2 linked regions of the Oryctolagus cuniculus genome follow. The protein of the gene in region 1 purifies or fractionates together with the protein of each later gene. This does not show direct contact. Links are inferred from orthologs where the notes say so. Each region holds a gene or a part of one and is shown on either strand. Other genes may lie near its edges.

What was found. Proteins that work in one complex are often made in the same cells at the same time.
Region 2: the proteins of EEF1A2 (region 1) and VARS1 purify together in Homo sapiens (co-immunoprecipitation; 3 studies listed by BioGRID and IntAct, counting the BioPlex papers as one, with this or other methods). This does not show direct contact. The link is inferred for Oryctolagus cuniculus from reciprocal best matches to the Homo sapiens genes EEF1A2 and VARS1.

What each region holds. Positions count from the first base shown.
Region 1 is NC_091442.1:452,058-455,306, reverse strand, and holds the end of EEF1A2 (elongation factor 1-alpha 2), read right to left. Parts: intron 2,435-3,249; coding exon 2,284-2,434; intron 2,014-2,283; coding exon 1,757-2,013; intron 1,464-1,756; coding exon 1,229-1,463; intron 962-1,228; coding exon 834-961; 3' UTR 501-833; downstream 1-500. UniProt on the Homo sapiens protein: Translation elongation factor that catalyzes the GTP-dependent binding of aminoacyl-tRNA (aa-tRNA) to the A-site of ribosomes during the elongation phase of protein synthesis.
Region 2 is NC_091436.1:138,825,982-138,830,085, reverse strand, and holds the start of VARS1 (valine--tRNA ligase), read right to left. Parts: upstream 2,801-4,104; 5' UTR 2,588-2,800; intron 2,313-2,587; 5' UTR 2,281-2,312; coding exon 1,894-2,280; intron 947-1,893; coding exon 812-946; intron 727-811; coding exon 588-726; intron 463-587; coding exon 338-462; intron 229-337; coding exon 144-228; intron 1-143. UniProt on the Homo sapiens protein: Catalyzes the attachment of valine to tRNA(Val).

The DNA.
Region 1 (3,249 bases):
AGGGGGTGCAAACGCCATCGGGGTGAGGGTAGTGCGGATCCCTGGAGCAGAGGGAGAGCTGGCCCGCAGTGTGCAGACGGGAGGGGAGGGGCGGAGTCTTTCCTAGAGGGGAGGGGACACGGCCCAGCCGCCCCGGCTCTGGGCCCGGTGTCGCGGACCCCAGCGGCTGACCCGCGGACGGGGAGGGAGCCACACCGCCGTCCTCACGCAAGCACCTGCCGCTGACCAAGGTCCTGGCGAGCCTGGCCTCCCAAGAACCTGGGCCACCGCTTGGGGGCGGGAGCCCCCAGGCGGCGCAGGGGTCTTCCAGACCAGGGCACCTGCTGGCGGGGGCCTCAGGCCGACCCCCCAGCCCTGAGCCCCTACTCTGCGGGCCGAGGCGCTGGCTCCGCGTCCTGGGTTCCCCGAGGAGGCCCCCCAGCCCCTCACGGCCTCCGCGGGAGGACACTTCACTGACACCTGCCCCGGCGCCCTCCCCCCAGCAGCAGGCGCACACGGCTCGGGGGCTCGGTTTATTGGAAACACGGGCACGGGGCGGGGGCGCGGGCGCGAAGCCGGGGCGGCGGCGCTTTCCGCTTGAAGAACTTCCACTGGACCTTGATGGCGAGCATCCAGTCGCTGACCGACAGCCGCCGACAAGCGGAGGTGCAGACGTGCGCCTGGCGGGGGCGCGCGGCGCCGGGGCCGCGCCGGGGCAGGGCCGGGGTCTGGGGGCGGGGCGGGGCGCGCGGCCGGGGCGGGGCCGGGGGGCGGGGCGCGGCGCGCGGCCGCGGCGGGGGCGGGGGCGGGGGCGCGGCGCCGCCGGCGGGGGCCGCGCCGCGGGCGCCCGCGCTTCACTTGCCGGCCTTCTGCGCCTTCTGCGCCGACTTGGTGACCTTGCCGGCGCCGCCGCTCTTCTTCTCCACGTTCTTGATGACGCCCACGGCCACCGTCTGCCGCATGTCGCGCACGGCGAAGCGGCCTGAGGAGGACGCTTGTCACGGGCCAGCGGCGGCGAGGCAGCGCGCAAGCGCACTGGGCGCCCGGGGCCCCGCCCCGCCCGCCGGCCCCGCCCTCCTGCAGGCCCCGCCCCGCCCGCTGGCCCCGCCCCTCCTGCAGACCTCGCCCGCAGGCCCCGCCCCGCCCCGGCGAGCACGTGCGCCGCGCCCCAGGCCACTGGCTGGACACGCCTGGCCGCACGCGTGGCGAAGGGCTCGCCCGGTTCCGACCGGAGCCCAGCGGCGCTCACCGAGGGGCGGGTACTGGGAGAAGCTCTCCACACACATGGGCTTCCCGGGCACCATCTCCACGATGGCCGCGTCCCCGGACTTGAGGGACTTGGGGTTGTCCTCCAGCTTCTTGCCCGAGCGCCGGTCGATCTTCTCCTTGAGCTCGGCGAACTTGCAGGCGATGTGGGCCGTGTGGCAGTCGATGACCGGCGAGTAGCCGGCGCTGATCTGGCCGGGGTGGTTCAGGATGATGACCTGCGGGCGGAGCGGCCGGCGGCGGTCAGGCTGCAGCCCCGAGTGCCCGCCACGGAGGAAGCTCGGGCTGCGGGGGACCCACGCAGGGCCCTCCTCGGGGGTCAGCAAAGCGCGGGGGACCCACGCAGGGCCCTCCTCGGGGGTCAGCAAAGCGCGGGGGACCGCGGGGGACCGCGCCCCTGCCCCGGGCCCCGGCAGAACTGGGGCGGACACACAAGGCCCGGCCTCGGTCCCGCGCTGCACGCCCCACGGGGAGCTGCGAGTGGATGAACGCCCCTCCCCCCGCCGCCCACCTGGGAGGTGAACTGCGCGGCCTCCTGCGGCGGGTCGGACTTGCTGTCCCCACACACGTTGCCCCGCCGGATGTCCTTCACGGACACGTTCTTGACGTTGAAGCCCACGTTGTCCCCGGGCAGCGCCTCGCTCAGCGCCTCATGGTGCATCTCCACCGACTTCACCTCCGTGGTGATGTTCACGGGGGCAAAGGTCACCACCATGCCGGGCCGCAGGATGCCGGTCTCCACGCGGCCCACGGGCACCGTGCCGATGCCTGCGCCAGGAAGAGGAGGCTCCAGGGAGCCGCCGTGCGCGGGAGGGGCTGTCGCCCTGCAGGGACCACTCCCCTCTCGGAGGACCCCTGCCTGGGGCTCTGCTGACCCCCTCTCCCACAGAGCAGCTGTGTGCCTGCGGGGCAGGCGCTGGGGCCTCCCAGGGCGGCGGGAGCATGAGACCCCCCCACACCCGCACACGGAGCCGCCTGTGCGCCCGGCCACAGCCGCCAGCTGGGAGTTGGGGGCGGGGCTCGGCCAGGCTCGCTCACCGCCAATCTTGTACACGTCCTGCAGGGGCAGGCGCAGCGGCTTGTCCGTGGGGCGCGTGGGGGGCAGGATGGTGTCCAGCGCCTCAAGCAGGGACACGCCGCTGGCATTGCCTTCCTTCCGCTCCACTTTCCAGCCCTTGAACCACGGCATCTGGCCAGGAGGAAGCGTGAGAGAGAGCCCTGAAGCATGAGAGAGGGCCCTGCCCCCCAACTCCAGGAATCAGGGTGGCTGGGGGCGGGGCTGGCAGGTGCAAAGCCCTCCCCTCCACCCCCAGCCCAGCCAGCTCCTCCCACCTCCGGTCCTGGCCGTCAGGTCCTGGGCAAGACAAATGACCAGAGTGGGAGGGGCAGAGTCAGGCCGGCGATGAACCCACCCAGCCACAGCCACACCCACAGCTCCCAGCCACTGACCCCTGCCTCCCGTGGCACTGTCCACCCCACTCCCCACTGTCCTTTGCCTCCACAGCCGAATCAGACCCCAGGGCCAGCAGAAAGCTCTGCGCAGGTGAGTGGGGCGGCCCTGAGGGCTGGGGCCTCCAGCGATGGGGTGGAGTCTGCCCCGCTCTGTCCCCAGTCCTGGGGCTCTGGGCTCCACGCCGCTCCCAGGGCCCCGGCTGCACACTCTCCACCTGCAGTGGGCAGCTGCAGGGCTGGCCAGAGCAAAGGGGCTATCCATCTGGGCCTGGGGCCCCCCGGGGCTTGAGTGAGCCTAGAAACAGGTCTCTGGTCCAAAACCATCACCTTGGGCCAAGTCAGAGCCCAGCTGACCGGCGGAGAGCCAGTCCTCAGCCCTGCAGGCCTGCTGCTGCTTCCCAGACCCAACCCTAACCCTGTTGCCCCTACCCAGAGTCCAGGAGCAGGACACTGGCCTGGGGAGACCACGAGAACCCCCCCAAGGGCACCTGGAGGCCAAGCAGGTGAGCCTGAGCCCAGCGGCCACGGCCCCCCAGCCAGAGAAGGGGCCCC
Region 2 (4,104 bases), on another chromosome or scaffold:
GGGTGGGCCCGCAGGGGGACAGGCTTCTAGCACGCCCATCGCGAGACGGACACCCTCACTGAGCAGCGTGATGCACGCAAGGCCGCAAGGCCGGAGCAAGAAGGGGCAAACGCTTGGACGGAGCAGCTGGAGGGTGGGGTTACCTTTCTTCTCTCCGGGTGGGGTTGGGAGGTCATAGGTGATGACCCCAGGATCCCGTTTCTCCTTCTTCTCTGGTTTTGGTTTCTTCTGCGGGGGGTGGGGGTGGGGGTGGGATACGACAAGGCCCAGGCTATCAGCCACCCCTCCCCACCCCTCCCGGGTACCACCTCCTCCAGCTGCACCCTGAGCCTCTCACCTCCCCTGGGGGGGGCTGCTGCTGCTGCATTTTCTGCTTCTGTTGGAATTTTTCTAGCTTCTCCCGCTTCTTTGCCTCTTTCTTGAGCTGAGCAGCTGTCTTTGGGGGTGCAGCCACCTCAGGGCCTGGAGAGAGGTGCAGGAGGTCACACTCAGTCCCTGGGACCCTCTGTAACAGTGCTACCGCCTCTCACGCAGGCTGTTGCAGGCCCCGGCCAGCCGGAGAGGAGCCGCCATCCGCCCTCCCTCACCTGGCTGCTGAGAGAAGGGCCTGGCCCCCGAGTACAGAACCACTTCTCCCAACACGGCGCGGAATTCCGGCTGCTGGACGCACGTGAGGAACCAGCGGGTCACGTTACCCCAGACCTGGCGGGCCGAGGGGTCCAGGACCTAACACGGGGAATGACCATCTCAGCCACCCTATAGCAAGGTCAGAGAGGGGCTCTCGGTTCCTCCCCAGGCCCCAGTGACTCACATATCGGAACGGCAGCAGCAGGGCTGTGACAGCTGCCAGGTCAGCCAGCGTGGGGGCCTCCCCAGCCAGGTAGGTGTGCAGACGGAGCCACTCCTCCAAGGGGCTCAAGGCCCTGCCCAGGGCTCCCAGGGCAGCCTGCGGGAAGGGGAAGGGGATGAGACAGGCCTGGTCCACCCCCTAACCCGATCTGGTAGGCCTCCCTCCACACCCACTCCTGCAGATCACCACCTCTGAGGTCAGTCTCTCCTTCGCTCACACACTCATATCAATACTTCTGACGCATCCAGCAAATCTCTATTGAACACGTACTATGTGCCAGGGCCATACAGTAAGCACAGGAATTAAAGATCCTCCGAGGCAGCAAAGTAATCACCAGGTCCAGGGCTTAATTTCTTTTAAAGCGCCTGTCTGGGGAATGAGGCACCCACGTGGACAGGCCGAGCCCTGCCTGCCAGCTTACAGGGAGGACCACACATGAGCAACTACTTAGTACACAGCCCTTTCTTAACTCTTACAAAGAAACACACAGCAGGCTGATGGGAACAAGAAATTCTAGGAAAAAGAGACTATTTTAGACAGGGCGATGACGCCAGGGTCTGTGTCACAAATTCATTCATTCGAGAAACACCACGAGCCTGCCACATGCCGTAGCAGGAGGCGGAGCTGCGGGTAGGCACAGCCCTGCTCTGGAAGGACTTACAGACATAACTGGTAGGGTTTCTCCTCTCCCTTCCTCCTCATTTAATTTCTCCTTTATCTCCTTCCAGCAGCCGCCACCTCTCCCTCACCCAGGCTTCTCTCAAGTCCCAGTCACCCCTATCTATTCTCATCCAACTCACAAACTTCTACCTGGAAACTTCGAAGCTGCCTGGCATGGGACTGTGTGCTCTGACACATCCTTTAATCGCATTAACTCAGCGAGGCTGGTATTACATCAGGCACCCGGCTCAGAGTTTAAGAAGCCAGCCCAAGGCTACCACACTCGGTGACAATCTGGGACTTGATCAACGTTTTTCCGTATCTGATGGCTCTATTACGATCATCTCCAATTTCCCCCTCACCCTCCTCTCCTCCCCACTCACCTGGGGGTCCTGAGCTGGGCTTCGCAGTCCCAGGGCCGGCAGCGTAGCCCCACAGGCAGCCGGTATTAGCTCCGTGTCGGCGTAGCTGACCCACTGTTGGACGAGGACAGCCGCCTGGCTGCCCCCAGAGCCCCCGAGGCCCGCTGGCCACAGCAGCTGAGACACAGCCGTGGCCCCCCACACCCACAGCCCACCGGGCCCCTGCTCCAGGGCCGGCAGGCGGGGTGGGGGAAAGGGCGTCCTACTGGTTGGGGGCGGCTGGAGACAGATTCGGGGGTGGGCTCCTCCCCATCCTGGTCCCTCTCCAGCCTCCCCATAGCGAGCAGCTATGAGGGCCCGGAGGCTGGGGAAGGCATCGGGGTGAGGGGAGACGTAAAGGATGGACATGGTTATGCGGGTCCCGGACGAGATGGCGAAACCTGGGAGAAAGAGACGGGGGTAGACTGAGGGACGCAGGGACCCTATATTGAAGAGAGAGGGGGCCCTCGGGGGGGGGGGTGGCTCCTTTGCCGCAGGCGCCCGAGATGCTCAGGCCTCAGGAGCCCAGGGGCTAGCTCTCACAGTGACAAGGAGAGCCCGCCTGGGGGAAGAGGGGCGGAGGTCTCCCCAGGATCGCAGGGGTCTCCGGGAGTGCGGGAGTTCGCAATAGCGGTTCGGCGTCCGGTGGACGCGGGTTCGCGCCGCGTGTACGTACTGGAGGGAGGTGGTCGGGCAGGGCCGGGAATCCCCCTCCCCAACTGGGAGGCCGGGGCGGAGAAGTTGGGCGGGCCTCGGAGACGGTGGGCGGCTCTTTAGGCGACCCCGGCTCCCTGCGACCGCCGGCCCGGCAGTCGGCGCCCACGTGTTCCCCCCTTTGTGACAGCGAGCATTTCCGGGCCCGCCGGTCCTGGCGGGGGCGGCCGCGCCCCGCCTGCGTGTGCGCGCGCCGCCCCGCGCTGCCCGACCCTGCCCCGGAGGACGCGCCGCGCGCCGCGCTCCCAAGGAACTGCACGGAGCGCGGGGCGCGGGGCGCGGGGCGCAGAGCGCGAAGACGCCCCCCCAGGAACGGCACTCCCGTCAGGCGCCGCCGCGGGCACCCCGTGCGGGTCCTCGGGCCGGGCCGCGAGGGCGGCGCCCAGCGGGCAGCGGCGAACCGGCCGCGCAGGGAGCGGCCTGAGCCTGCCGTAAGTACGGAAGGAGCCTCATTTGCACACCGACCAGGGTCACGCTGCAGGGCTTGCGCTGTTTCTTAGCGGGGAAGAGTTCGCGTCTGCATTGCATATTGGAAATCGTCTACTGGACGCTGTTGCACAGTGGCTGTTTCTTAATTCCCAGTCACCACTCCACGGCACAAGCTAAGTCACTTGTTGGTATCTTCGAGATACCCGGAGAAAGTGTGTACTGCGTTGGCTGGATTAAAGCAGAAATACGGCGACGTGAAATGCATTTTGGAATCTCACGTTACCAAATTAGTGGAAGGGTGAATTAATGGAAGGGCTGGGGTGGACGCTTGGCCTGGAGGCTAAGACACCACATGGGGCACATCCTGCATCCCGTATTGGAGTGTCTGAGTTCAAGTCCAGGTTCTGGTTCAGATTCTAGCTTCCTGCCAGTGTGCACGGTGGCAGGTAGCAAGTGGTCACTGCGACCCACGTGGACCCAGATTTTTTTTTTTTTTTTTTTTTTTTTTTACAGGCAGAGTGGACAGTGAGAGAGACAGAGAGAAAGGTCTTCCTTTGCCGTTGGCTCACCCTCCAATGGCCGCCGCGGCCGGCGCGCTGCGCTGATCCAATGGCAGGAGGCAGGTACTTCTCCTGTTCTCCCATGGGGTGCAGGGCCCAAGCACTCACTCCCTGGCCATAGCAGAGAGCTGGCCTGGAAGAGGGGCAACCGGGACAGAATCCAGCGCCCCGACCAGGACTAGAACCCGGTGTGCCAGCGCCGCAAGGCGGAGGATTAACCTAGTGAGCTGTGGCGCTGGCCAGACCCAGATTTCTTTCTTTTTTTTTTTTTTTAAGATTCACTTATTCGAAGAACAGAGTTAGAGGGAGAAAGATCTTCCATCTGCTGGTTTACTCCCTAAATAGCCGCAATGGCCAGGGTTGAGCAGGTCCAAAGCCAAGACCCAGGAGCTTCTTCCAGGTCTCCCACGTGGATGCAGGGGCCCTTGGGCCTTGGCCATCCTCCCCTACTTTTCCAGGCCATAGCAGGGAGCTGGGACTTGAACTGGTG